Linked DNA regions of Rhinolophus ferrumequinum. The protein of the gene in region 1 interacts with the protein of each later gene in a pairwise test. Links are inferred from orthologs where the notes say so. Each region holds a gene or a part of one and is shown in the gene's direction. Other genes may lie near its edges.

Region 1 (7,826 bases):
AAGGGAGCAAACAGACCCCAAGGAGGAGAGGATTCAGCTGGGAGGCAATGAGGACACGGGACAGCATCAGGTTACCCAAAGCACGGGGGGAGCCCACGGGGAGAAGAAAAGCAAAGGGGCCAAGTTCAGTTCTCAGACAGAAAACAAATATCCCCTGGGACACAGAAAGGGGTGAGAGGGGCTCCAGTTTCAAGGCCGGCACCTGAGCTGGCTCTTGAAGAGGGATGCCATTAGACACGCTGTCCCCTCTGGGTCCTCAGATGACACACCGTGAGTACCAAACGTGTCAGGTGGCCAAGTGAAGCAGGGCACATGGGCACCGGCGCCCCATCACTGGGGAGGCCTTCATCTACCGCGGCCCCCAGCGGGGTGGGTGTCAGGGTCCCCGCCCGGATCCTGTCCTGGACTTACCTGTGTAGGACACCTCCACGTCGGCCAGTGCCTTGAGCGTACTCTCATAGGACACGTCCTCAAACTTCTGGGAGCCGACCTGGTCATACACGCGCTTGGTCTGCTCCATGAGCTCCATCGTGAGCTCCCCTATTTGCTGGGCGCTCAGGTCCCATCTCAGGTAGTTCACCACGGAGCAGGGGGCCGCCGTGTCCAGCGCATCTCCTGCACAGGCTGCACAGGAGACAAAACCCCACGCCAGTGTCTGCTTCACGTCCAAAATTAGGGTCAGAGTAAGGGGAGAGCAGAGGGAGAGGACCACCATGTCCCCCAACAGATGGGCAGGTGACTCTGCTCCCCATGGGACACTGGATGATGTCTGGGGAAGTGGTCGTCACAACTGGGGAGTGACGCTACTGCACTGAGGAGGCGGGGTCAGGGATGCTGGTGAGCACCCCAGTGCCCAGGACGCTTCCGCTCCGCTCACCCGAGATGACCCGGCCCCAGTGTGTGTCAGCAGTGACAGGTGGACATTTGATGTATACCTGCTTTTCACTCAAAGGATGTGATGACAGGGGGCAACCCCTGACTTCCCTGGATGTGACAGGACATTTGTATTGTATTACCTTTCTAAAATAGGGGGACATCCTGATGACTGAAACATCCCTAGACCCGAGAGCTTTCGGACAAGAGATTGTGATCCATACTATGCGGTCCCTTGACAATTTCCATGTGGGGTTCAGAGCATAAGATGTTTTGTGCTCGTCCCCTCACTGAATTCTCAAACTGGTCTGTACTCTGCATCCGTTTGCCTGTTTTGTAGGAGGGAATCCTGAGATTGGGAGCGTTCAAGTCTCCCGCCACGATGATCCCACAGCCAGCAAGGGGCAGAAGTGGGGCTCACGCCCAGTCTGCGTCCACCCCCCCGCTATGAAGTGGTGTACTGTCCTCACCCCACCTTTGTAAATCTGCACGTCTGCTTGTCAGGTCTTCCTATCTCCTTCCCAGGCCTCCACCCTGCACTGACGAGTCAAGTTCAAAGCCTTCATCAGTCTACACCACGGGTTGGCAAACCATCGCCTGTTTTTGTATAGCCATGAGCTAAAAGTAACTTCACATGGGCGGTGGCGTGTGGCCACCAAGTCTAAACCATGTGGCCCCTTACTGACCAGTTTGCTGATTCCTCATCTACATTGTCTAGACTCTACTGGGTCCTGTACGGCAGGTTTGGCCAGCTGGTTTTGCCAGTTGCTCTGTGCCCAGTCACACTGGCCTGTTTCAGTCTCCCGAGCCCTCCTGCAGTTTATTCCCTCTGCCCTGAGGCCTTACCCCGCCAGTCTTTCTTTCCACATTCCTTTCTCAGAAGCCCACCCTTCCACAGCGTTCCTATAGCACCTGGAGGCCTGGAATGGGTACACCTACCTTGAGCTAGGTGGGCTGACTTGAGTTAACTTAATGAACGGAGTGGTGTAGAACGCGTAATAAAGAAGAAGGGGCTGCTTCAGGAAACACCCAGCTATACCTCCCTTCCTCCTTCTGGCACGGCAGGAGTTGAGCAGAGCCAAAGGAGTTCTGGCCTCCTCCTCTTGTGAACACGGAAGGTGTCTGCAAGGTGCTGCTGCCTCGGACCTGTCTGTGGTGTCTCCAGGGCAGAGGTGTTTACCAGCATTATCAACACTGGGGGCTGGCGGGGTGGGTGCTGAGCACCATCCCTGTCCCTCCCCAGTGGTGACAACCACAGATGTGCCCAGGCAGGGCCCCATGTCCCCTGGGGTGGCACAATCACCCCGGCTGAGGACCGCTAATATACACTAAAGCGGGGGGGAAAAGGCTTTCAAGTCGGCACAGGTCAGATTTTCTGGCCAAATGGCTGCTGCAAACTTAGAGAAAAATCTTTTGTTTGCAGAGTATTTTGGATTTCAGAACTGACGAAAAGGGACTGCGGGTCTGTATCTCGTGGTAAAGAAGGGTTCCAGGGGCTCAGAAAGGTGATAGATCCATGAGTCGCAAGTGTCAGAAAAACCATCTGGAGGAGCTAGGATTTGAAAAATTGGAGCAGACCTATTCATTCCATAAACACTTACTGACTGATTACCACCTATGTGCTGGGTCTCCAAGCTAACAATCTTGCAGCAAACAAGGCAGACAACATTCCTGCCTTCCTGAGTCCTCCATAACCCTAGTTGTAATTACTATTATTAATACAATTATCATCATGACAATGGGCTGGAGAAAGAACTGGGGGAGGACAGGCGGGCAAGAGAACATTCCAGGAGACACCACACAACAACCTGAGCGATTTCCTAAAATACAGTAAACAAGTCACATCGCTCTCCTAATGAAAACCCTTCCTTAGCACACATTTGCCTTTAAAAGTTGTGGTCTAGCCAGAATGACTTACTCTCCAAACGCGTTACCGGTTCCTGCCTACTACCAGCCTTTGCCCTCACGGTTACCACCACCCGGACGCTCCTCCCCGAGGTCTTGGCGGGACAGTTGCATTTCCCCATCGAGTCCAGGCTGAAATGCCACCTCCTCCCAGAAGCCCTCCAGGACTGCCCTCTCTAAAGAAGAGCCACCAGCCCTGGCACCGACCACTCTCTAAAGCTCTCCCTTTCTTCTTTGCTTGTTGAACGTCTGTCTCTGGCTCTGGAACTTCGTCTAGAACTCATGGTCTCCCCCTGAATCCCCCCCAGGGCCCGACCCGTCCTTAGCAGAAGCGACGTGCAGTTGGCAGAATGAGTGAAACGCTGGAAAAGCTAGTTCATTCATTCTGCTGTGGAGAAGACGGGGCCCCGGGATAGCCAATTCCTGCCCCCGCCAGGGTCCCGTTCACCCCCCAGTCACACTTGGCTCCGCTCTTAGCTCCAAGTCGCGACTCCGAGAGGCACGAGGGTGCAAGGGGCGCCGCGGTCCGGAGAGCGGGAATGTACCGAGGGGCAGCCGGTACCTGCGGGGGGTTTCATGGCGGGCGGGTGTGCACCAGCGGCCACTCCTTCCACCTGGTGCGCGTCGGGTCGCCTCAGCTGCCGCGACCAGCGGCCTCCGTCCGCTCGGTAGCCGTAGGGGATGCCTTCGCTACCGAGGCGCCCGCCGCCCGCGTGCCCACTGAATGCTGGGAGGGCGCGTGCACTCGCGACCGAGCGCAGGGCGCACGCGCGCGTCAACATTCACACTCGGCACGCCGCAGCCCTCCCTGACTGTCATTGGTCGCAGCGTCATGGGGGAGGAGACTTGGGGGGAGGGGCGTTTCCGTGGAAACCTACGCATACGGCTAGTCCCGCCCAACCTCCGAATCTTTGTGGTTTTGTCTGTCAGTCCTCCGCCTGGGCTTCTAGTCCCCGTATTGATTTGTATTTGTCTCCTCTCTACCCTAAAAAAAAACAAAACAAAAAACAGAAACGTAAGCAATTAAGTATGCTCGAGAAAGCTTCAGTAAACGGATCCAGAACTTCAAACAACAGGTGTTTCGAAACAACGCTGTTAAAACAAACAAAATCTTAAACCGTCTAAAGTACCCAGAAAGAAAAATTTACTAGAACTAAACTTCAAAAACAAACCCACCTCCTTCATTTCTGCAAAAGAAATTAAAATAATCCAGGGCGTTAAACGTGCATACGTTTTAAATATAGAAACGAATCGGCAGAACTCTTCTGGCAACTTTAACATCAGTGGTAGGCAGTTCTGAGTCATCCTAGGGTATTTCTCATCACTTACCCTCTATTAAGTATACCAAGCTTAATTCTATGTTAGTCTTCATTTCCACTGTTCCCTGTACGTGGAGTGTTTGTCCTCATTCTTCAAATCCAGTTAAAAGGCCCTCCCTGACGATCCCAGCCAACTTACCTCCCCAATCACAAGCACAACACCCCATTTTTTCTTCACAGCGCTTGCCCATTAAGTGAAATTTATTCATTTATATACTAGTGTACTATACTATAATCCGTCTACCCCAATACAAGGTAATGAGAGTGAACACTGCTGGTCTTTATACTTGGTTTGCAATACCTGTTTGTTGACTATTAGGGACCTGCAGTGAACAATCTCTGTATTCCTTTACAATTTATGGCTTGAAAGAATGAATGAATGCATTCGTGGGTAAATGGGTGGATGAATAAATGAACAAAGATAGTGGATATCAGTTGCTCGCATTCACAGAGCGCCTGCGTCCAATTAGGCGCCCGAGACCCAAATGCTGCTGTACCACGTGGCCAGCTCGGCGCCTCGTGACCCGCTCCGCTATCACGGAGAAATCCGCCACTGTCCCACCATGCACCGCTCTCTTCCCGCTGTAGAGGACGAATCAGTCTTGATTTCCGGCCTTCACTCGGTCGCAGAGGTCAGTTGCCCTAACGACCAGCTCGTTCCCGCCTCTAACCTTCGTCACTTCCCCCCACGCCCACCTGAATAATTGACGCGCTTGCGCAAAATGACAGCCAGCGCGCGAGGAGGCTCTTTCCGCGCAGGCGTCGCGCCTGGGGGGGCGGGGTTGGGCGCCGCCGCGGTGCGCAGGCGCAGCCGTCGGTGGGTCGGGGTTCGGCGGCCTGAGCGGTGAGTAGGTGGGCACGGCGCTGAGCCGGGCGGGCCTGGGGTCCGCGGCTCGGGGCTCTCGGGGCCTTGGGGTCCGTAAGGGGAGATCGGGCTGAGGCTGGGGTCGCCGCGATCCACAACAGTGTGCTGTGTGAGTGGGCGGCACGGAGGGGAAACTGAGGCTGGGTGGCGTCGGGCAGGCCCTTGCCAGCTCTGGCCTTCCTCCTCCGCACCCCAGGCCCGGGAAATGCTAGTTCTCAGGCCCGTGGGTAGACAACGGGAAGTAAGAGCGCCCACATGTAGTTATACCGCTATGGGTGTCCGCTGCTGTCGGGAAACAGCCCCTTTCAATTGGGGGGCCCCCATTCGTGAGGCTCAGGTCGGGGCTCCTGTCCCAGCGCCGCCGCTCTCCATCTGGGTGACCTTGGCCACCCTCTTGACTTCTCAGAGTCTCAGTTTTCCACTCTGTAAAACGGGCGTCGTCACAGTCACTGCCTTGGGGGGGTTCGGGACGGGGGGTGGTGGTTTTAAAGCCACAGAGCGCAGCGCAGAGTGAGAGCACAGAGGGATCAGCAGTTAGTCTTATTTCACTCTTAGACTCTTCTGCATGCTGTACGCGAGGCGGGAGAAATCTGGGCTTGAGGACCAGCTCCACCACCTCCCGCTGGCTGTGTAAGCTTGGGCAAGTCGCTTTCTCTCTCTGAGCAGCACCATTCTTCTGCTAGAGAGACTGTAGAAATATATGCCTGCTAGGGTTATTGTGAGGTTAAATATACCTAGAACATTTTTTAATCAGATTCCTGGTGCTTGTTAAGAGCTCACTGGAGAATGACCAGTCTGTTTTTCCTCTCTCTAGACCAGTGGTTTTGTCCACCAGAGAGGACACTGGGCAATGGGGACATCTATGGTTGTCATGACTGGGGTGTTGCTGGCACTGAATGGGTGGCGGCCAGGGGTGCTGCTCAACACCCCCACAGTGCCCAGGACGGCCCCCCAGAGAATGGTCAGCCCCAAATGTCAGCAGTCCCAAAGTTAAACCCTACCATTATACCACTGGTTCTTCACCAGCAAGAGCTTGAGGAGGAGGGTTTTGAGCGGGGAGGCACAAGAAATCATGTGCAAGGTTTTGTGTGTGCACCCATTTTTGTGGGGACAGGAAAGGGTACTTTGGCGTTTAAGCTCTGGAGTCAGACTGCCTGGGTTCAAAACTGATTTGTGACTTAGCTGGGTGACCTTGAGAGGCAACCTATCCATCTAAGCCTCAGTTTTCCTTTCTGTGGGATGGGGATTAGACAAAGCAACCCAGGCATCCAGCAAACTGGTCAGGGGAGCAAGTCCAGCTGCAGCTTGTTTTTGTAAATGAAGTTTTATGGATAGAGCCACACCAATCGCATAGGCTTTATCTGTGGCTGCTTTTACATTGTATTAGTAGTGTTGAATCGTTGCCACAGAGACCCTGTGGCCTGGGAAGTTGAAGGAATTTACTCTGGCCCTTTTCTGAAAATGTTTACTAACCTCCGAAATAAGCCATTGCATGTACAGCACTTAGCTCAGTGCCTGGAAGGTCCTTGGGACTCCAAGGATTTCACCTGAGGTTTACAATTCAGTCTTCTGGAAGGATGAGTGACTGTAAATGGAGTTAACCTCGGCCCCAGGTCGAGAGCTGTAGTCTTACTCTATCCTGCATTTTTTCTGCCAAATCCCAATGCTGGCTGAGGTAGGAAATGCTCAGTGAGGACTGAAGGAATAAAGGGGATTGTGAGTAGGTAGGTGAGACTGAAGATCTAATGAGCAAACCAAGTCCCAAAGAGAATGACCTCCACAGGGAACCTGGTTGTGTGGTTCTGAATTTAACAGTGACCTTATGTTGTCTTGAGTCCATATGGATCAAACGCCCCCAAGTGCTGGGGTTCAAGGGCAGATGATCTATCCAATGGCCCACAGTCCACTGGGGTAAGACAGGCCAGGAAAGTGTCCTACAGCCTTTTAGGAGGTGCTGGACCAGAGGTGGGAATCGTACTTGGTCTTTGCTGGAAAAAGAAGGTGTCCAGACTCTGTCTGAGGCAGTGACTTTGAAGCTTAGTGTGGAAGATAGAGTAAGAGTTTCCCCAGTGGGTCAGAGGAAAGGCGAGCAGTCGGTTTGCGTGGAGCACAGAGGGTTCAGATTAGGCCCAGCGGGTGACACACCCATGGTGACGGGTCATGTGTGCGCCCACGTGACGTTTCAGGGAGCTGTTGAGGATTTGTTGAGTGTGCAGGACATCCTGGTGGCATTTTTGAAGAAAACAGGGCTGGGCTGGAACCCGAGTTCTAGTTTGGGGGCAGCCCTTCTTGGATACAAGAGGGGTTCTAGGATAGGAGGGAGGAACATGGTACCAGCTTGCAGACACCTGTGTCTGTGACAGGAGCTGTGGAATGCCTGCTGGAGGGGCAGAGCGCCCACGGAAGTGGTGGGCCTCCTTCCGAAAACAGGTGCTTCTTCCTGCAGCGTGAGGGTCTGGTTGCTCGTTTTCAGTAAGATGTGCCCTTTTCCCCTTTCAGTCCTGGGCAGGGAAATGAATGGAGGCTGGTGGTGTTTTGTTTGTTTTTTTGTTTTTCAATGATAAAATGAAAAGGTGGGCCGACAGCTGGAAGGGATTCTGAAGGCGCCAAAGAGGGACTGGGCCCAGGACCCCTGCTCCCACCCCCAGCATCCGTGCACACTCACCAGGCTCCTTCATGCACCCCACGCCGCGGGGGGCCTTCTGAGAGCTCATACAGGCCTCACTGTTCAGAGAGAGAGTAGGCCTTGACAGTGTTGTCCAGCAGCCAAAGCCGTACAAGTTGTGATTGTTCCAGAGACACCGGGTGCCTAGCAGCCAGCAAGCAAAAGAGCTGTCACGGTGTCAGGCTGGGCCCAGCTCTGA
Region 2 (7,335 bases), on another chromosome or scaffold:
TCTAGTCCTGTATCCAGACCACCACCTCTGAACGCAGCCACAGAGTTGCCCTGGATGAACCACTTAGCCAGAGAGACACATCCAGGGGCCTCTCCGTGCCAGGCTCCTGAGTGGGACCTCCTGTCACTTTGGTGCCTCAATCCAGCAAAGGGCTGGCCTCCGAGGTCCAGTCCAGCTGGGGCTGCAGCTAGGAAGAACATATTTAAAATTGCTTAAGCAAGCGGAGAAGGCAGAAGTCATGAGGGAAGAGATTGATTGCTAGATTTCAGATGATGTAACAATAACACAACTTCTGACCACAAAAGTTATCATAATCAAAGATAAAATACAAATGACAGATTGGAGGAAATATCTGCAAGATAGGTAATATCTAGAATATATGAAGACTTCTCACAATTCAACAAAAAAAATATAAACACTATAGAAAAATGAACAAAGGATGATAAGATAGTTTTATCTGTCAACTTGGTGGGTGTTTATGGATAAGATTAATATTTAAATTGGTAAATTGTTGGTAAAGTGAATTGCCCACCACAATGTGGGTGGGCCATCTCCAATCAGTTGAAGGCCTTCATAGAACAAAAAGACTGGCCTCTCCAAGCAAGAGGAAATTCTCTAGCGACTACCTTAGGATTTCATCTGCATCATTCACTCTCCTGAGTCTCCAGCCTGCTGGCTCACACTGCATGTTTTGGACTTACTAGCTTCCATAATCAGGTGAGCCAATTTTTTTTAATAGATCTCTTTCTATATACACAGCAATTCGTTTTGTTTCTCTGGAGAACCCTGACTAATACAGTTAAGAACAGGTAATTCACAGAAGAAATACATATACAGCATAAGCATATGCACAAATACTCAGCTTCCCTGATGTCAAGGAGATGCAGATAAAACAACCCGAAAATACCTTCTGTCATAAGATAGGCAAAAAAAATTTTAAGTGGTGTATCCAATGTTGATGAGATTATGGAAAATAAGTTTCCCTAAATACTGTGACTAAGAATGTAAAGTGGAAAAATTTTAAGGCAATTTGTAATTAACATTTCAAATGTGTATACCCTGTACCCAGCAATGTTACTTTTAGGAATTTAACCCCCACATATGCACTCAGAGACATGTTCACAAATATTCATTGCATAATTATTTGTAACTGCAAAAAATTGGAAACGTGAAAGTCTATTAAATGAGAATGGTTAAGTAAATTATGTAACATCTATAGTGTGGAATACTTGGCAACTGTCAAAAAAGAAACCAATAAATAAATGGAAAGACATCCCATGTTCATGGATAGGAAGACTTAGTAAGACGGCAATACACCCCAAATTAATCTACAGATTCAGTGCGTTCCTTATCAAAATCTCAGCTGTCTTCTTTGCAGAAACTGATCCTAAAATTCACATAGAAATTTGAGAAAAGCCAAAACAATCTTAAACAGAAGTTGAAGAACTCCCACTTCCCAGAAGTTGAAGATTTCAAAACTTGCTATAAAACAATGGTAATCAAGACAGTGATAATGAATGGCATAAGGACAGGCATATAGATCAATGGAATAGAATTGAGAGTCTGGAAATAAACCCTCACATTTATAGTCAATTAATTTTATCAAAATTAAAAATAACAAGGCCTAGCCAAAGGCCTCTGGGAAGGTCAGGGAATGGGGCAAATGGGGATGGATTATTCTATGTAAAATCACTTTGTGATTCTGGAAATTTGCTTCTTTTCCGTCTTCCCTGTTCACAGAATGATCCTCTCTACTTAAAGTTGAAAGACAGAGGGAGAGAGATTCCTGAATTGGAAGGCATAAGGGCACTGGAGTGTTTTTTGAGGAATATGGGAGAAGTTCTGCAGTCCTTGATGTCTCTCCACTGTACCCTCTCCGTTGAAGTGGAGGTTCACTGCATTCATTTTGACAAGCTATTTAATAAATATGTTTTACATTTCTTTGCTGTAACAATCAGAGTAACTGCCTATGATTCAAATTTCTGTGAATGCTCAGGCTCATACCTTGACTACTAACTACTGTCCTTTAAGAGTGATGTCCATATGGCCCATTAAGTCATCCAAGACTGTTTATCCCTAGACGCAATGTCCCTAGGATGTTGGGCTTCGAAGTTCTTCAGTCTGCTTTTTGCAATTTTTCCTGTTGAACATTTTTAATCCTTGCGAAACTCAAAGTTACTCCTTCTAGAAACTACAGCATGCACACATCCCCTGATCTTTCTATAATCTTGATGCTGGGAAGTCAGATGACAACATTTATTTAAAATACATGAAATAAGAGAAAAGAGGCTCTATGTGAGGAAAACTTTGAGCTCTTTCACGGAGAAAGTTTATGATCCTTTAGAGACTGTTTCTCAACCTCTACGCTGCCAACATTTGGGGCAAAATAATCTCTGTTGTGAGGTCTGTCCTCCGCTTTGTAGGATGGTTAGCAGCATCCCTGGTCTCTATGCACTAGATGCCAATAGCACTTCCCCCCCGTTGTGACAACCTAGAATGTACCCACACACTGCCAAATGTCCCTGGTGGGGAAAATCACTTCCTTACAGATTTTGTGATATAGTCATCCCTTGGTATAAGCAGGAGGTAAGTTCCAGAACCCCCCATGGATACCAAAATTCATGGATGTTCAAGTCCCTTATATAAAATGGCAGTTTTTGTACATAACCTGTCCACATCCTGCACACTTTAAACCATCTCTAGATTACTTATAATACCTAATACAATGTAAATGCTATGTAAATAGTTCCATACTGTATTGTTTAGGGAATAATAACAAGAGAAAAATGTTCAATAGAGACGCAACCATCATAGGCCTAACGATATAGTACACATCAGCAACAATGTAACCTTTTTTTCCAAATATTTTTGATCCCTGGTTGGTTGACCCCATGAATGTGGAACCCACAGATACAGAGGGCTGACTTGTTTTAGTCACTCTAGTCTTTTTTTCCTTCTGGTTCTGTATAGTTGTGATTAATAGGTTACTTTATTGATTTGCCTAACATTTCATAAAAATTGTGTGTGCATGCATGTACTTTATCAATAGAAGCATAAGCTATACCCCCTTGCCTCAGGATACACAGGAAGGAAAATATGCACAAATGTACCAATGTGCAGAATAGTCCCAGATTCTCAGCAGGAGCCTTACTCACTGTCTGGACCCTCTCTAACATGAAGCTGAGCAGTGCTGCCACAGAATTCCTCAACCCTGCCATGCTTCCATACCCAGACTCCTATTTGGCTCCTATCCCAGCCTCACACTCAGCTCAAGCTCTTTCCCTAGTCTGCAGCACTCTCCATTCCTTCCTCCAAGTCCCAGCACCAGGTTTTCTCTGGGCCTCTCCTCTCTCCTGGTGCATCTCCCATCACCCATCTCTGCCTGGACCAGGCCCTTTGACACTGAGCAGTCTGGCTCTGTTGCTGGCTAATCCATTCTATGTAGTACGTTTTCTCTCCTCACCGGCCATGTCAATTCCTGGAAGGCAGCACCATCTGAAACTAGTAAGCCATTTCCACTATGCACTCATCCCCTGCCCAGCCTTGGGCCAGGCGCCCAGCAACTCCTCAAGCCTACTCCATTGAACTTGGCATTCAATCCCTGCCCAAGGCTGCCCTTTCCATCTGGTTTCCTAGTGCTCTTCCCAGCTTCCCCTGTCTAGCCATTTCTTCAAGCTCTTCCGACCTACGTTAAAATCCTTCCAGACTCAGTTCAAAAATTTGCCCCCAAGGTAGGATTAAATCTCTTCTTCCCACCTAGAGCTAACCTACTACTTCTTCCCTATACCCATCTACAGCATTTGGCACACGACGTTGTACCTTAAATTAGATTTAATCTGAGTCTGTCTCCCTTCTCCACCCCATCCTCCGCTGTGAGCACCTTGAGGAAAGGGCCGGAGGGCTGTTTATCCTGGTACCCTTACAACTCTCCTTCAACCTCAAAGTTTAATCTGAATTTGTTGAATAGAATAGAAACAGGACGCACAAATGTCCCAAATGCAGAAGCGGACATCCTTTAAATGCCCTTGAACGCACCCTTGAAGGGGCAGCTCCCCTGGCTGTCAATATCTCCAGACAGACGCTGCCCGGTCTCCAGCAAACTCTACTAGGCGGCCGCAGGAGGCTGCGAGGCCGGTCCCGAAGCCGGGTTGAGCAAGCCAGGGCATCACATGATTCTCCGATCACATGATCCCTAGAAATGGAGGGTGGGAGAGTCAGGCTGGGAGGTGAGTGTACTGAGTACAAAAACACAGCACTCCAGGATGGCCCGGCCCCTACGTCGACAAGTAGCGAATGGGAGGACGACAGCCCGGACATCTGGCCAATGGAAACTGAGGTGGGCGGGCCATCGCGCTGCGAGGCCCAAGTCCTGGAGCTGTGGGGTGGCTGCTACCCAGCGAGCGCCAAACGGGACACAGGTAAGGAGGTCGGCTGCGCAGACCTCTCCCTTGCTTCTTCAAGGGCCTGGCCATGGGGTCGTGGGGACTTGATGTTCCTCTGGAGTTTTAGCTGGGAGGCAGAAGATTCATTTAGAGAATCTCCTTTGGGGGTTTGCGATGTATGGGAGGGAGTTTTATGAAGGGTGGGAGTAAGCAGTAATGGCAGTGACCCCCTTAGAAAAGGGCAATCTCCCTCTACATCCCAGCATCCCGGAAGCTGCAGCCCCTTTTCCCAAAGCAGGGACCACTCCGTTCTTGAAGACCTCCGCCCCCCATCAGCTGGTGCTGGTGCTGCTGCTGGTGGTGGGTAGTGCCCACGGCGTCTGGTAGAGGGAGAGGCGCCCACCCTGGCCAGGAGCTCAGACGGCTGGGATTTAGACTTGAGACTCAGGCCTTCTCAAAGGTAGTAGGGACTTGGGAGGGTTGTGTCTGGCTCTCCCTTACTTCCTCTCTTGAGGGTGGGACAAGCTAACTTCCGCCTCTCCCAGCCACGTTTTCCTGCTCATTGGTAGTTGGATTGTTTCACCTTTTGGGAATCTCTCTCTCCTCCTGGCACTCAGCGTTGGGGGATGCCATCTAGTGGAAGATGACAGAGCTGGGGGCTTGAAGAGGCTCCTGTCCCTCGCTGGTGTGGCCGTGTGGATGGCGTGGGGTGAGAGAGGCCATAGCTCAGAACACTCCTGAGAGGAACTGGGCCCTCTCCTCCCCCATCCCTGGTCCTGAGTGTGTGCGCATGTGTGTTCAGTAGATGCGTACACTATACTCCCTAACCTCAGGATACCCCAAAAGGAAAATAAACATAAATAAATAACTAGGGTGCTGAATAGTCTGAGATCTGTACCGACAGGCACTCCTTCTGGCCTAAGCCAAGAAGTGGGTGGGGCCAGCTGTAGATGCCTGGGAGCTGTGGGCCCCGAGAAGTTGAAAGGGACCAAGGTCTAGAGCCAGCCTTCTTCATCCTTACCTGGCGGAAGGTGGCCTCCTGGGAATGGTCTTTGTGCTAGGGAGGGGACTCTGAGGGAGGGCAGGTGAGGGAAAGAGGATGTGAGCGACTGTGTGTGTGACGCCCTGCCACGCAGTGCGCTTGCACTGTCCATGCACACTCAGTGGGAACTGAGGCACGGAGACAGGGAGCAAACTTTGAGGCACTCACAATCAGTGGCAATTGTAGGTCTAGGACCCAAGTGCAGTATCCAGGCAGCCCATGTGCTTCCCATTTCTGTCCTGTCCAGGAAATACTTCTGTCCCCCTTCTCTGCTTGGACCCCAGGCCTCTATCCTCCCAGGGTTTGTTCATTCCCATGCACTGTCCATAGTGCCACATGTGAAATGAACCCAGTTCCAATATGCCCTGGAGCTGTCAAAGCCTGTTGTCTCCATGACTTGATATATAAAATTGGTGTATTGCTTAACATCTCTGAGCCTCAGTTTCCTCCTTTGAAAAGTAAAGGTAATAATACTACTTTGGTTGGTGGTTGCAAAGAAGAAAGAAAATATAGAGTGTTTAAACTGGCTCCTGAAAAGCTCAGCAAACATTGCTGTTTTTGCCCCTCTAGGCAGGGAGGGTAATGTCTCCCAGGCCTGCCCCACTGAACTAGCAGGGCTGGCTGATCATGGGGGAAGAGTTGTGTAGGAAGCAAGAGGCTGCACGCTCCCCACCTCTCCCCTCCCACAGACCGTGGCTAGTTCTTTCTACTGACTCAGAGCAGCAGCTGGGTGGGCACTCGTGGTTTCTCTCCCTGTGCAGCAGAGTTTCAACTCTAGGGTAGGGAGAGAGGCCGAGGCAGGGGTATGGTACGCTGGGCGTCTAAAAGGGCCTGGTGGTGTTGGGGGACCATTAGAACACAGGCGTCTTAAAGGCTGTGCGACCCAGCCTGTGTGTCCCTTTCCCTGGGTAAGGACAGGACAGTCAGTGGGTAGGCTGTGGCTGGCCTCTGGGAGAGGCAGCCTAGACTCCACTGGCCACATCACTTCCCTTTTCACAACTTTCACAACCCCGTGGTTTACCATGTCATCATGTGACCTCTCACCAATAGGCCTTTGCAGAGTGCAGGTGTGAGCACAGTATCAGATGAGGAGGCATCTGGAGGGGCTCGCTGGGTAAGTGGAACCCTGACTTTTCTTCAGGACGGTACTCCCTCCCTGCACCCCAGCTACATCTTCCCATGGCTACTGATGGCCTCCCCTCCCCCCCAGAGGTGGCCTCATTTCCCACAGATCAGACCCACAAAAGCCACAAATCTTCCTGATTCTCACATGCCCACATGTCTACACACTCACCCAGAGACTCAAGTGCTGGACCATGTTGGGGACACAGATTCATATGTACTCATGTCAGCATTCATGCTCATGGGTGTACATGCGCTGGTGCAGGTGTGACACGCATGCAGGACACATGTAGGAAACTGAATCTCAGAAACTACAACTTGCTTCCTCTCTGGACAAGTTGTTGTGGGGAGGCTCACGTAGTCCTGGGCCTGGGAGGAGACTGGCCCCAGAATCAGGGATGGCAGGGACTAAGCTAGTTGCCAAATGCCTCTTGATATTCTGCAGGTGGACCATGTGGACCCTGGTGATCTGGGTGGCCTTAGTGGCAGGGCTGGTGGCTGGAAAGCAGTGCCCAGATGGACAGCTCTGCCCTGTGGCCTGTTGCCTGGACCCTGGAGGAGCCAGCTACAGCTGCTGCAATCCCGTTCTAGTGAGTACCCTCAGCCTAGGCAAAAGCTGGCAGCTGGGATTTCCCAAAGGGTCATCTGGAACGGGCCACAGGAGGGGACCAGACTCTGGTCCTCCCATTTATCCTCTCCTCACTTTCCAGGACAAATGGCCCACAGTGCTGAGCAGGCGTCTGGGCAGGCCCTGCCAGATCGATGCCCACTGCTCTCCTGGCTACTCTT
Region 3 (7,187 bases), on another chromosome or scaffold:
CTGAAATAGTCCCGACACTGAGGACTTCCACGTTTATATCCTTTGTGAAGTTGTAGGTTAAAAAATGCATCTCAGTTATTAAAAGAATAATCACTTTGTTTTTATAAAATTGGTACAATCTTTAAAAAAATTGAAGCAACTAAAAAAAACAACAGGGCCGGGCCTGTGGCTCAGGCGGTTAGAGCTCCATGCTCCTAACTCTGAAGGCTGCCGGTTGGATTCCCACATGGGCCAGTGGGCTCTCAACCACAAGGTTGCCAGTTTGATTCCTCGAGTCCCGCAAGGGATGGTGGGCTCCGCCCTCTGCAACTAACATTGAACCCAGCACCTTGCGCTGAGCTGCCTCCTGGATGGCTCAATTGGTTGGAGCACGGGCTCTCAACCACAAGGTTGCCAGTTCGACTCCCACAAGGGATGGTGGGCTGCGCCCCCTGCAACCAGCAGCGGCAACTGGACCTGGAGCTGAGCTGCGCCCTCCACAACTAAGATTAAAAGAACAACAACTTGACTTGGAAAAAAGTCCTAGAAGTACACACTGTTCCCCAATAAAGTCCTGTTCCCATTCCCCAATAAAATCTTTAAAATAAAAAAAAGAACAGAGAAGTAGAAAAATGTCCTAAATCCAATCATCTGGAAATAACCATAGTTTCGTTTGAACATTGTTCCAGAAATCTGTTCGGAAAAGCAGATTCAAAGGACAGGCAGATGGAAGGAGGTCTAGGGTGTGGGTCAGGATGGAGGCCTAGACCCACATACCTGCTTGTCAAGACACCTCGAAACTCTCAAAAACAACAAGGAGATATTTACAAAGAGAAGAATTCTTTAAGAACGCTGGGCCTCAGAGAGATGGTGGAGTCTCTCAAAGGAGGGAGGCCCTGTTAATGGCGGGGGGCAGATGGTCCTGTTAATGGGGATAGAGGCCTCAGTGTTGCTGGGACCAGAGGTTCCGGGGACTTCAGGTAGGGTACAGTTTCTTGTTGAAGTGTTCCAGTCTATGGTGTTTGTTCCAGCAGCCCATGCTGACTAATACACCAGGTAACGAGTACACCTGCCAGGGCAGCCTTAGGGAATCAGAACCTGCATCCCCTGCCTCCCTCAGTTTCACACTTGGGTAGAATTCATTTTCTTTTCAGCACTAGCACTGACGGAATTTGAATTACATAAAAGATTAGATAAAATGGGTGGTTAGGTGTCCTGGTTTTCCAAGAAAAGGATTGAGTTTCTTTGGGGAAAAGTGGAGATAAATGCTTAGGTTAGAGCTCAGCATCCAATTAAGAATTTGAATGAGTGAGTAAGTGAATGAGTGGGAAAGCATTGAGAGTTTCAGAAACGCAAAGCCAAATTGCCCCCTCCCTTAATGTGGACCTTCTGCCTGGCAGCAGCCACTCAAGGGAAAAACACAAAGGCCAGCAAAGGCCACAAAAGTCACTCCCGTCCCCCACCCAGCAGGCTTTTTCCTCTGATTTCTGGGGCCCCAGGGATCAGATGAGGCCATGTGAAGGAACCAGCTCCCCCACTTTGCCCTGGGAGTCTCAGCCAGGCCAGGCTTACCCCTGAGACCTGAACCAGTGACACAGTTCCATCCTCCAAGATGGGCTGAGGGCTTCCCAAATAGGGTGGCAGGGAGGCCTGGCCAGACGAGTGGGCAGGGAATGGAGCCCCTCCTGTCTGCTATGCCTCAGGATGCCCGAACCCCACACTCAGAGGGCAGGGAGCTCACGGGAGCCAGCCCTGACCACCCCCCCGCCCCGTCCCCAAAACCAAACCAGCCAGGCCAGGGCCTGCCTCTGCTGGAAGAAGGGCCCATTGTTTGGGGCTCCTGGCAGAATGAGGTCTGGGGCACGCCCATGGAGGAGATTATGACCTTGTAAATGTCCAGTAAATCTCCTCATGGGGAGCTCTGATCCCAAGGGACAAAGGGCCTGTGTTGAGTCTCCCTCAGGCTCAGGGCCAGCACTGGGCCAGAGTGACAGAGGAGGAGGGTCTCCTACAGGCTCGGGGCCTCCTATGCAGGTGTGCACGAGGCTATGCACGTGTGTGGAGGGCATGCGCAAGCTCCTGTGCGTGGCGCTATTGAGTAAGTGTGTGTGTGTGTATGAGGGTGCATTCGTGGGCCATCCCTTATAATTATGTTCACAGCTCTATGAAAATGTGCTTCATGTGTGCTTTTGGGCAAGTTCAGTTATCCCCTCTTTGCTCAGGCCAGAAACCTGTCTCTTCTTCCAACTCCCACCCCAGGTAGTGCTTCCTGGAGGCCTCGCCCAGACAGACTCTCTGGGCGCCAAACCCTGCCAGCTTGGAGCTGGAAAGAAAATGCCTGAATTGGCAGCAAAACTCGCAAAAGTACCCTCCGGCTGGGCTGGGGCAGGAACACAAGCCCCTTTGTGCAACCTGCCAGCCCCTGCCTCCCAGAGCTGTGCTGTGAGGTCCTAGGCCTCTTCCACCTCCTTTCAGGAGGAGGTTTCTGGAGCCTGGGGGTTGGGAGGCCTGAGCATCAAGGAGCCTTTGCAGGGAAACCAGTGCAGAGTCAGAAGAAAGGGCACAGTTTTCAGGATAGAGCACCTTTCTGTTGTGTTTGTTAAATGGAACTCCCCTCCCGACCTCCCAGCCCCGCGTATCCAGCACCATGGACAGGGCTGCGATTGTTCCCAGGAACAGGGATCCCAGGGGTCCGCTGACGTGAGTGAAGGGCCAGAGAGGACACAGTTTAGGTTTTCTAGGTTTTAAAGTCTCTGTCACAAGGACTTAGCTCCGCCTCTAGTTGAAAGCAGCCCCAGAATATATGCAAATGAGTAACACTTTATTGGTGGGCGATGGCACTGGAATTTCATAGAATGTTTGTGTGTCATAAAATACTATTCTTTTTTTGAGTATTTCCTAATCATTTAAAAAATGTAAAAAGTGTTCTTAGCTCATGGGCTGTGCAGAAACAGGCAGAGGGCCAGCTTCAGCTGCAGACCATAGTAACTAACCCCTGCCCTAGGTACCTGCTGTGGATAATGGAGGTGCCCGCTAACAGGGCCTCCACCCCATTCTCCAGGCCTTCCAGCACTGCCATCCTGAGGAAACCAGTGTTCCCAGCTCCTGGTGAGTCAGCACTCCCAAAGCAAGTCTGTGCACACATGAGGCCATTCTTTGCAGCCTTGTAGCCAAATGGGGACATTCTAAGCCCTCGTGTCTCCAGTGGCCTGTGTCCTTGGGCAATGTGTCAGTACAGCAGGAGTGTTTCATTCCTTCTTCACACCTGTGTAGTATTCCACTGTATGGATGACAACATCGTTTATGTAATGGGTCACCTCTAGATGGACAAGTCTTGTTGTTTTTAATCTGTGGTTTCAAAGGATGCTGCAAAGAAAAACCTTGTATACCTGTCCACATGGCATAAAGTCTTTGGTGTTCAGACCCTTAGCTGGAGAAGCATCTTGCTAAATTTGCATAACATCCTATGAGTAGTTTCTACCATTATCCACATATATCAAATGAAATACTCGAGGCACACAGAGGTGACATACGCTCCCCAAACCACATGACTAGCAAGTAGGGAAGAAAGGATTTGGACCTGATCTGGCTCCAGCACCCACACCCCCATTCAGCCCCTATCTTGACAACCTGTGGCTCTTCTCAATGGTTGGGGAGACCCCTGTGGACAGCCTTAGCTCCAGCCCTTCGCAGAAAGCCTGAACTTGCCACACCAGCAGGGTCCCCAGAACCCTTTTAGAATTACACTGTTACCTTCCAGATAAAATCTGACCCCTTGGCCTGGCCGCAGGTGCCTTTGGAAGGACTGGCCTGGAGGCTCACCTGTCCCCAATCCTCTGCGCCTCCTGTCATGGCACCTTTGCTGTTGGTCATCCTATAGCCCGTTAAGGCTAGTTCATCCTTAGCTACTCCCAGGCCTGGCACAGAGGAAAGATCACAGACATCTTCCAAGTGACAGGCCGTGGAAGCCCTGGGATATGTCTTCCACCTCACACCAGACACACAGAACTGGGTCGTCCAGTCCAGTTCTGAGGGGGAGCTGGGAGCTTGACCTGGGCTCCCGGGACCCCGCACGACTCCAGGCTCTGCCCAGGCCTGAATGAGGTCTTGAACTCAGTTGTGCACAAGACAAGATTCCTGTGCCCCATGGACCTTCTGCGGACATTCGACCTACATCCCCCCCATGGGGTTGAAACCCATTTGGCCAACCTGAGAAGGGCTCTCAGCAAACATCCTCCACCTCTGAAGTCAAGATTTAGTTCAGGTGTTGAGGGGAGAGACCCAGAGGTGACAGTGAAATCCCTGTCACTGTCCCATTTTGTTTGTATAGGCCCTGGGTCCAAGAAAACAAACACAGCATGTCCGGGAGCTTCCCCTAGGATGGTTCCGGGGATTCCCCCAGGAAGAACCCCCGCCGACCAGCTCCTTCCTGTCCCCCTGGTGGCCCCCACTCCTTCCTTCTGGATGGGGGCCCACAGGGCTTGGGAGAGTATAAAGGGCCAAGTGAAGGGCACCCAGGTGCAAGACTCCCAGTGCCAGGACTGGGTGACAAGATTTTCCTGGCCAGGTAGGTGGTGCTCCCCTCTCATGGATAGGGCCCAACAAGGTCAGGCAGGGCCCCTCTCTGAGAGTCAGGTGGCCTATCCCTTCTCTCCAGGAGCCTTGGGACTCACGAGCCAGAAGCCATGCTGCTGTGGCTGACCCTCACCCTCCTATGGAGTACCACCTGCTGGGCACAGCGTAAGTCTGGCTGGGTCTGCCTCCCTCCAGCCCATCCCCCTGGTGGCCACCCTCACCCCGTCCAACGAGGAGACCAGAGTCTAGGCCCAGCCCTTGTTACAGACTAATTCTAGTCTCAGGACCGTCCCATCTGCCTGGAGGGGCTGCATCAAGTCTGGGCAAAGATCACCTGTATATTACTGTGTGTGTGTTGTTTTTTTCACCTGGTTCTTTTATCCATCTAGAGATGTATGGGAATGGAGGAGGAACGTATTTCAGTACCCCTGTAGACGAAGAAAATGACATAACTGGGATTCGGGTGTCTGTGGGCCCTATAGGCATATTTAAGAGGTGAGTAGGAGCAGGGCACGGCCCTGTCACTGCGACCCAATTCATTCCACAGTCTTGGGAACTTGGGGAGGGGGATCACCGCCTCTTCTCCAACATCTTCACTAGGCTCTTGATGACTCTTTGAGGCCACTTGAGTCCTTTAGTCATGAGCCACCAGCCGTCACCTTTCCATGTGTCCCTTTTCCTCACCCACCTCCTCTCCTGCGTGCTAACCTCACTTCTTTCTGTCTCCACCTGCAAGTCCAGTCATTGATCTCAAAAAGGGGGGGAGGTGATGTTTCTCCCTACTTTCTCCTTTCCACCCAAACCCAACTCAACCAAAAACGGCCTTTCAGTCTGAGAATGCCTGATGGAAAAATCAGGGGGGAAGGTCAGGGTCAAGGAGGAAAGGAAGTGAGGGTCAGTGGACCCCTGATTGAACACAAGTTGCCAAAAGTGTGTACAGGCAGAAAGACCAGGGACGTTCCCCTAATGTGGGGGTGATGTCCTTGCTCAAAGCCTGGGGCAAATCTTTGCTCTGCACTTAAGCGGTCCCAGGGACCTGGGAGAGAGAATGGGACAGAGAAGCTGGCACTACAGGGGACGAGTTGCGGGCATGGGAGGTGGAGGCGGAGGCTCTAGGACAAGCACCGAGGACACACAGATGAGTCCAGATGGGTGGAGCAAGTGGAACCCCCACCCTGGTAAGTGTGGGAGCTCACCTGCTTCTTAGGCCTGCAACCTGATCTACTTGGAGTGGCTTGGGCTCAGAAAGCCCAAGCTTGGCCAGGGGACAGCTCCCCACTCTGAACAATGATGACCGCTGGCACCACCTGAGGGTCATGGTGACCGGGCACTGTGTAGAACTCTCCTTATGGAGACCTCAGTGCCTGCCCCCAACCATCACTCCCACTTTGCAGATGAAGAAACTGAGGCACAGAGAGGCTGGATAACAAACCCAAGACCACAGAGTCCGAAAGCGGCAGAGCAGGGGTTTGACACCAGTACGTGTCTCAGGAACCCCAAGCCATATGCTCAGGGACTTGTATTGCAGTGACAGGGTTGCTCTCCTTGCCAGTGGCTGCGGGGGGGAGAGGTGATGCAGGGGTAGAGGCCCTGGGGAGTGGGGAGTCACCCTGGATCTGGGGTATTCAAAGCTCCCCCTTTCTCCCAGTATCCAGGTGAAACATGGATCCAACTGGAGCGAGATATATGGGGTCGCAGGCGGGAAAATGCAGGAGTTCCTCCTGTGGCCGAGAGAACACGTTATAGGGGTGTACGGCATGCACAGAGTTTACCTCCGGTACCTGGTCATATACACCGACATCGGGCGCTGGGCTGCCTTTGGGAAAGAGGATGGCCGCAGCTTCGTCGTCTACCCCGAGCAGCCCGAAAAGGTGCTCACAGGACTCTTTGGCCAGTATCAGGGTCTCGGCGTCACGGGCCTTGGTTTTAAGTGGGATAATCCTCAAGAAGAGCTTGACACTGAGCCACCAGAACAGAAGACGGGAAGTTGAGTGCTCCTGGGTCCCCAGGGATGGGGAGTGGGGTCACCTTGCTGAGGACGTCTGGCTAGTGGCGGGCTGACGGCACTGAGGTGGGACCCTGAATTGGAATCCAATAAATGAAGCTTCTGCAAGAACAGTGCTTCCAGGTGTGGTTCTTGGTCTGGGGTACAACCAAAGCCCTCTGAGTGTATGAGGGCTGAGTCCTGCGGGGTGGAACTCAGTGAACCAAGCCGCAGGATGAGACAGGAGGTGGGTCTGACACTCCAAGCCCTGGTGATTCTGCTGAGGATGCAGGACCTGTCTATGCAGACCTGGGCCGATCCTACAAGCGTTGAGGATTCCCGGCTCTCAGGATGCCCTGCCCCCGACTCCCCACCCCAAGCCCAGCCAGCAGGTCTCCGCTGGCCCAGGCTCAGTCCCAGACTTCTCTGATTATGCAAGGGGCTTCAGGGAAGTCATTCATTCATTCATTCACCCATTCACTCACTCAGCACACATTTGCCAAAACTTCACCCAAGCCAGGCTCTCCTGAGCACTGGGAATATAAAGAAGCCAGGTGTCCAGCTGAAGGGCACCCCATGGGGGATGAATGCAGAAGCATACGATAACAGATGGCTGTGGCATCTGTGTTAATTAGGATCCATGCAGGGC
Region 4 (6,841 bases), on another chromosome or scaffold:
ATACCAGGGGTGCCAAAAAAATATATACAAGTGGACACTTTGCTCAGCGTTGCTCAAGCAGTAGTGACATGTGATGCTCTCTTATTTTCTGTTCCACTTTTGAAATATCCTGGTCTTGAGCTGTTAAACCAATTTCATGGCCCACTGAATAAGGCTAAAACCTACAGTTTGAAAAACCCTGTCCTTGAGGATTTTGAGACATTTTTTTTCTTGTTTTACCAATGCAAGTTCTGTAAGTTCACATAGCTTAGAAGTGTTGGATGGAGGACCTCATCCTGGAATTCTGTCTTTATGTCCAGCTTTCTTCTGAATACAGAGTTTCTCCAGAGGAATCCTAATTAAGAAACTAAAGGAAACCCAACTGCAACTCTGGGAGAGGAGACACACAGAGGTGTGAAAAGACTAATGAGGAGCATTTCATGGAAGTTTCCCTGCAGCCTCGGCATTTGACAGTTATTTTGGGGTGCACCTCCTCTGTGCCAGGTGAGATGCAGGAGATAGTTCAGAGATTGATCAAACAGTCCCTGCCTTCGAACATGCTTGTGTTTAGCAAAGGAGGCTTCCATTGTAAACTGATAAATGACAGTGCAGGGTAATTAGAGCCAAGCTGGTGATGTAGGAAGCACAGCTGGAGACCAGGGAAAGGAAGGAGGAATTCTGTTTGCAGTGGAGGGGCTGGGAAGAAATGAGGCAGAGGTGCTTGTGAGAGGCTTGGTGGTGGGTGCAGGGGAAGGTGGTGGTGGTGGTGCCGGTGTGACTGAACGTTTTGAAGGGAGAGGACACTCAGTGGGCTTCTAGAAGGAAAACCACACCTGGAGCAACTTGCAGGCGCTGCGATGTGAGATGCAGGCGTCAGGAGGGCAGGGAGTGGAGGGACCCTCTTTGCCACTTAGTGAAGTCACTGCTACTCACTAGACTCTTCATTGAAGCAGTGAAGGGCGGACAGGAAAGTGATGTTCACAGATTTTTTTTTTATGGTGAAACCCTTTGTTCAGATGAAACCACCAAGGAGCCTAACGTGTAGGTGAGGAGGAAGAGGATTTTTTTTTCCTTAACAGGAAACGTATATGCCATTATTTAGAAATATTGTTTGAGAAATCCTTGATGGGGGTCAAGGATCAGATTCTCACTTTGCGGTCTGAATTTGCACCAAGACTTTGAGAACAAAGCTGTTTTGTCTGAGAGAGGGGGCAGCTCTCAGGCAATCCAGGAGGGCAGGAGAGAGGCTCCCAGCGAAATGGGGGAAGGTCCACGCATCTCCTGCTATGGCCTCCATGTCCATTCTTATCCACCCTCCAGTCCATTCTCCCTCTATCAAAATCCAGAGGGAATAATCCCTTTTAAAAGGCAAAACCCTTCCATGGCTCCCCTCACTCTTAGAAGGAATCCAAGCTCACGACCAGGGCCCCCCAGGCCCTGCGCCATCTGCTCAGGGCTGTTGCCCAGACCTTACTTACCACCAGCCACCCTGCCCTCCCTGCTGCTTCTAACTGCATCCCACACACTTCCTGCTTAGAGCTTTGGGGCTTGTTGTTCGCTCTGCCTGGCCCCCTCTTCACCCAAATTATTTGTGCTTCTCACCATTACTTCAATCGGGTCTCTATGCAAATGCTACCTGACCAGAGGGCCTCCCCGCAGACAAACAGCCTTTCCATCTCTCTTCGCGCTCGCTCTCTGCTTTGTTGATTTCTTCAGAGGCCGTATCATGCAGTCGCGTAGTTGTTGGCTGCCCTGCCCCACTGGCATTTTCACAGGTGGGGTCGGTGTGTCAGAGTGACCCTACGACAAGTGTGGGAGCCTGTGTTCTGAGGGTCCCAGATATGTCACGCAGGGAAATGAGGGCGTTCTCCCACGGTGTTTGCCTCAGACCTCGGCATGGATTGCCTGTGTTTGGTCTCATACTATGTTATCGATATGCTTCTAAGGAAGAGCTGAGGTGGATGACAGTGAGACAGGAGAGAGAGCACAGAGCTTGGGAGAGATGGAGAGACAGAGATGAAAGGAGGCAGAAGTAAACCAGCAAGGGAGGGAGGGAGGGAATGTAAAGAAAAAGCCTCAGAGCTGGAGATGTGGGGGAAGGAAGGTCAAGACAAAGGGAAAGAGTGACAAGAGAAAAATTCTGAGACGTTTTAAATTCAATTACAGCAGGCAGGAGAGGAAGAGAAACACAGGAATAATTAACCGGTTAATAGCTGTGGGCCAAATGACAAACGACTGCTCACATTCCTGAATGTCTGTGGAAGCTTTGAATCGACCTGCGGGCATCTCTCAGCCGACCACTAGATGCCACCGCGTCCTGAATGTGCAGGAACTTTCAGGACTGTCACCAGGAACCACTGAGAAGCAGTAAATATGTCTTCCTTACAGACCGTGCACTTATCCTAGAACTACCTCCTTTCACTTCACCTCTTCCAAGCCCCCATAGCTGCAGCCAATGTAAATCCTTTCGAAACAACTTACATCTTCCTCCCCCCAAAACATAATGTATGAAAGAGCCCTTCAACTCCAGGACGGCGGCCAGGTTTGTCTTTTCCACCCAGCCCTGCTGCTGCTGCTGGTGATTTCACGCCCCAGGACGGGGTTAGTTCGGGGCTACCATATGGCTCAGTAAACCCTTTCTTTTAAAAACGCTTTCACCCATGGAAGTCAAGATTTTTGTTTAACAAGAGAGAATCAGGAAAGAAAGGCAAACAGAGAGAGGACAGAATGGCTGGAATGAGGTCTGAGTCATGTCACCAGGACATGTTTGTTTTGGACTCCGATAGCTCAGACAGTGATGTATTCTCAGCATCCTCCTGGCTCTGGAATCTCCCCACCAGGAGCCCCACTCTCTTTCCAGCTCCTTGGGGTCGGGTTCCTTTTGTTCCCAGGAGCCCCAGTCCCAGGTGGTGAGCCTGTCAGGGGGTGGGGTGCTCTGAACGGTCATTAATAACCCAGGCTAATGAGTCCAGCACCTCCCTGGACTCCATTCTTTCTGCTCAGAGGACCTGCTGCCTCAGGGGATCAACCCTAGAGGGGCCACAGGGTAGGACCCAGGAATCCGTCCTGGGCATTTTAAGTGGCGAGGAAATCAGTCCTGGCAGAGAAGGGCCTGGGAAGAGAACACATCTCTGCCAAAACCCCAGGGAAGTTTCAGACCTATGGGGAGAACAATTGTCCTGCGTGGGCTGCTGGCCCAGCCTGGGGCCCGGGAGTTCTGAGGGCCCTGAGCCCAGAATTGCCCCCAGAGGGCGACCTGTTCACTGTCTTCCCTCAACTTCCCACTTGCCTGCTGGACTGAGTCTGTTCCTGGAAGGGGAACAGACCATTCAGTGTCTACGTCCAGCACCCTTCTCAGAGAGAAAAGGTTTGTGAAGGGTCTGGCAGATTGAGGATGGATAGATCGGGGTGGGGGTGTCGGGGGGGCAGCAAGTACAGCAAAATATAACCACGGTAGAATCTACAGGTGTGTATACGGGCATTCCCTGTGTAATTCTCCCAACTTTTGTATGTTTGGGGTTTTTTTTCATATAAAATATCAGGGGGAGAGAGAGAAAAATTGTTTGGCAAGTAATAGGCACCCCTGGTTGTAAGGCGTCAGCAGTGTAATCCCTTTCTAGGGAAACTGATATCTTGAATGGCTGGAGAGGTTGCAGGTGAGGGCATTTGCAAACACCCACTACAGGAGGAAGAGAATCTTAGACCACACCCAGAGGTGATTAGTAACTGCTGACCCCAAGCTGCTGACCCCTCGGTTGGTGACTTTTTCTTAAGTTTATTCTGCCCCTCCTGAGAGCTGGGCCTTGGCCTAAAGTGGACCCCACCTGCCACCTGTGACCCTTGGGAGGAGGGGCAGGATAAGATGTTCCAGACCCTGCTTGACAACTGACCCTAAAAGGTTAGTCATGTTTGCTCAGGAGGTGAGGTTCACACGATAACGAATGGGGGGAGGGCCTAAAACTGGTATAAAAGATCTGGAAGTTTCTGGGGGGTTACTTTGCGCTTGAAACTGCCAGGTGAGGGGTGACAGAGGCCTGGGCTAAGGTGACAGGGTGACAGGGATGCCTGGATTTGAGTTAGGGGGAGTTCAAGCTGAGCTAGAGAAGAGCCTACCTGGATGGAGTGGCAGGGGAGACCTGGGGCATCAGGGTTGGAGCCACCCATGGGTGTAGCGGTACCTGGATCTCAGAGGAAGGGCTGGGGACCCCTGGTTTGCTCAGGGGCACGGATATGGCCAGATTTGTGTTAGTGGGAACAGAATTGTGACAAATAGACCAGGCGCCTGGGATCTAATATCTTGAGCTGGTCCCAACTCCTACACCTCAATCTACGCCACCTCCACCAGAATTACTTGGGCCCTGGTGTTGCCAGTCTCTCCTATCACCACCTTGACTCCCCAGGTGACAGAGAGACACATCTTAAAAATGCCCCTTTCCTTCTGAGACCAGGGGGAAGCTAGGAACTTAAACTCTGCCCCAGGTGCCCTGTGAGCCAGGCCCACTGACCGCAGGCAGACTTCCGTCAGGTTTTCTCAGACTCCTGATGGGTAAACTAAACCATTTCCATGATTTGGAGAGTTCCTCTGCTTCTTTAGAGAACTTTCCTGCTTTGTGCCGGGAGGGAACGGGGCTTGACACTGCTTGATCCAGATGGAGGGTTAGGATCCATCTTCTGGCTACAGTCAGAGGAGCGAAAGGCAGAAGGGTGAGGGACACAGAAGATGAATTCTGCAAGGAACAGGACTAGAGACTACGGATAATCCTTTCTAAGCCCAAGACTGGATCGGCAAGGGCTGAGCGACAGGACCAAGGAGCCTGAGTCTCAACTCGAGGTCAGGGGTGTCTGGGTAAGTGAATTCCAGAGGAAAAAGGGTCCATCTTCACATTCTCCTTTCTTTCTTCCATTCTAGCGCCAGAATGCTGACCGTTGCTCTTCTTGCCCTTCTTTGTGCCACCGCCTCGGCCAATTCCAGTAAGTGAGAAGCTACGAGCCCGTCCCAAGGTCATTGCTGTGGCCAAAGTTTTCAGAGGCGGGCTCGAGGTGGTGGGGACTGAGTAGTGCGGGGAACAGGGACGGTGGGGAGAACCCGAGTGCTCAGGGAATATCTCCCTCCAACTCCCGCTTTCCCCTCCAGTTCAGATCAGGGCCTCCTCCTACAACGGAGAGTATGGCGGCGGCGGCGGCGAACGGTTCTCTCATTCTGGCAACCAGCTGGACGGCCCCATCACCGCCCTCCGTGTCCGAGTCAACAGATACTACATTGTAGGGTAAGAGTCTTTGAGTTTCTGGGGTTTGGGAACCCTGTGGCATCTTACCAAATTGGGAAGTTCTCAGCCACTTTGGATCACGTCTGTTTTAGTCAGTAAGTCCCAGGGATGACGTGGTGTATTAGAGGAGTTGGATTCCAGACCAGTGCGGCTGAAACCTACACCCCAAACACACATGATGACCGTGGGTGGATCGCATACCGTAAACTCTCAGGGGCCCAAAAGTTATCTAGGTTCGCCCCCACCCGAGGTGCGAGTCCCCTGTGGCACCTTCCATCTTTGCGTGTATCTTTCCAATCGTGGCTCTGCATCCCGGGACAGCACCGACAAGGCTTTTCCCTCCCGAGAGCCTTTTCGATGTTTGAAACATCCCTGCTTCTTTGAGGTAGGGGGTGGGGGCCGAGTGGGGGTCTAGACGGTCCATTCCAGCGCTGGCACTTACTGTCTGGGTGACTCTGGGCGCATTGTGTTACCTCTGTGAGGCTGTTTGTCGTCAAAACGAGGAGCTGAGGTCCCTCGTGTAATCTGCAAGGGCTCACGCAGCCCTCATGTACTGTGGGATGAGCGGGAGTCTTGTCATTGTCACCAGGTTGGAGCTGTCCACATACAGGCCAACAGGTCCCGGGCTCTGATCACGCTTCTCAGTGTCTCCCTCTCTTCCCTCCTCGCCCCTCCCCCAGTCTCCAGGTGCGCTATGGCAAGGTGTGGAGTGACTACGTGGGTGGCACCCAGGGAGACCTGGAGGAGATCTTCCTGCACCCAGGGGAGTCGGTGATCCAGGTGTCCGGCAAGTACAAGTACTACCTGCGGAAGCTGGTCTTCGTCACTAACAAGGGCCGCTACCTGCCTTTCGGGAAAGACACAGGCACGAGTTTCAATGCCGCCCCATTGCACCCCAACAATGTGCTGCGATACATCAGTGGCCGGGCAGGCTCCCTCATCAATGCCATCGGCCTGCACTGGGACGAATACCCCACTGACTGCTGAGCCCCAGCCACCTGCAGTGGGGGTATGAGAACCCCTCACCACTCACTCCATCCACGTGGTGCAACAAAACAATAAAAGGGCATGGCTAAGGCTTGTGGGGTGTGTGTGTGTGTTTGTGTGTGTGTGCTCACGCAGCTGCGATCCCTTCCTGACTCCGGGTGTCATTCTTGGCTAGGACCTCCATCTGGGGTAGAGTGGGAGGACGAGGGAAAGAGGTAAACGTTTTGGGCATTTCTTCATTTATCAAAAGGAGGTAAGAGTCCAGCTTGCACCAACTCTATTTTCAAGGATAGCTCCTAAGAGTGTTTACCCAAACTGAGGTTCTGAGGCTGAGGCCTCGTCGTGGCTTATTGCCAAAACCCCAGCTGTTCCACTCTCCTGCTGTTCTCTCCTCTTGTTCCCCGCCCCCCCTTTGAGATAGCACCAAAAGGCCACACCTCAGTCTCTTGATCTGAACCTGTTCACTGTATGTGGGTGGCCTGAGTCATTATCCTTTCCCAGAACCCACCTGACTCCCCAAGTTTCGCGTCATTGTGTGTCTAGTTCCTCCCCACCTTTACCCATAAGCCCTGGTTTTCTTGCTTAGCTCTCTCAGAACTGGGGTTCTC

What was found.
Region 2: the proteins of SGTA (region 1) and GRN interact in binary tests that used the Homo sapiens proteins (3 or more experiments, as listed by UniProt). The two-hybrid records come from large-scale screens. The link is inferred for Rhinolophus ferrumequinum from reciprocal best matches to the Homo sapiens genes SGTA and GRN.
Region 3: the proteins of SGTA (region 1) and ZG16B interact in binary tests that used the Homo sapiens proteins (3 or more experiments, as listed by UniProt). The two-hybrid records come from large-scale screens. The link is inferred for Rhinolophus ferrumequinum from reciprocal best matches to the Homo sapiens genes SGTA and ZG16B.
Region 4: the proteins of SGTA (region 1) and ZG16 interact in binary tests that used the Homo sapiens proteins (3 or more experiments, as listed by UniProt). The two-hybrid records come from large-scale screens. The link is inferred for Rhinolophus ferrumequinum from reciprocal best matches to the Homo sapiens genes SGTA and ZG16.

What each region holds. Positions count from the first base shown.
Region 1 is NC_046301.1:60,666,542-60,674,367, forward strand, and holds the start of SGTA (small glutamine-rich tetratricopeptide repeat-containing protein alpha), read left to right. Parts: upstream 1-4,819; 5' UTR 4,820-4,941; intron 4,942-7,826. Other genes in the region: THOP1 (thimet oligopeptidase), read right to left, coding at 412-624, 3,341-3,356. UniProt on the Homo sapiens protein: Co-chaperone that binds misfolded and hydrophobic patches-containing client proteins in the cytosol. Mediates their targeting to the endoplasmic reticulum but also regulates their sorting to the proteasome when targeting fails.
Region 2 is NC_046304.1:39,390,729-39,398,063, forward strand, and holds the start of GRN (progranulin), read left to right. Parts: upstream 1-4,321; 5' UTR 4,322-4,418; intron 4,419-4,680; exon of another isoform or gene 4,681-4,842; intron 4,843-6,474; 5' UTR 6,475-6,509; coding exon 6,510-6,538; intron 6,539-6,991; coding exon 6,992-7,136; intron 7,137-7,256; coding exon 7,257-7,335. UniProt on the Homo sapiens protein: Secreted protein that acts as a key regulator of lysosomal function and as a growth factor involved in inflammation, wound healing and cell proliferation. Regulates protein trafficking to lysosomes, and also the activity of lysosomal enzymes.
Region 3 is NW_022680357.1:4,336,007-4,343,193, reverse strand, and holds ZG16B (zymogen granule protein 16 homolog B), read left to right. Parts: upstream 1-4,490; 5' UTR 4,491-4,546; intron 4,547-4,636; 5' UTR 4,637-4,664; coding exon 4,665-4,719; intron 4,720-4,943; coding exon 4,944-5,049; intron 5,050-6,202; coding exon 6,203-6,545; 3' UTR 6,546-6,675; downstream 6,676-7,187.
Region 4 is NW_022680357.1:819,083-825,923, forward strand, and holds ZG16 (zymogen granule membrane protein 16), read left to right. Parts: upstream 1-3,970; 5' UTR 3,971-3,995; intron 3,996-4,888; 5' UTR 4,889-4,895; coding exon 4,896-4,950; intron 4,951-5,113; coding exon 5,114-5,246; intron 5,247-5,926; coding exon 5,927-6,233; 3' UTR 6,234-6,324; downstream 6,325-6,841. UniProt on the Homo sapiens protein: May play a role in protein trafficking. May act as a linker molecule between the submembranous matrix on the luminal side of zymogen granule membrane (ZGM) and aggregated secretory proteins during granule formation in the TGN.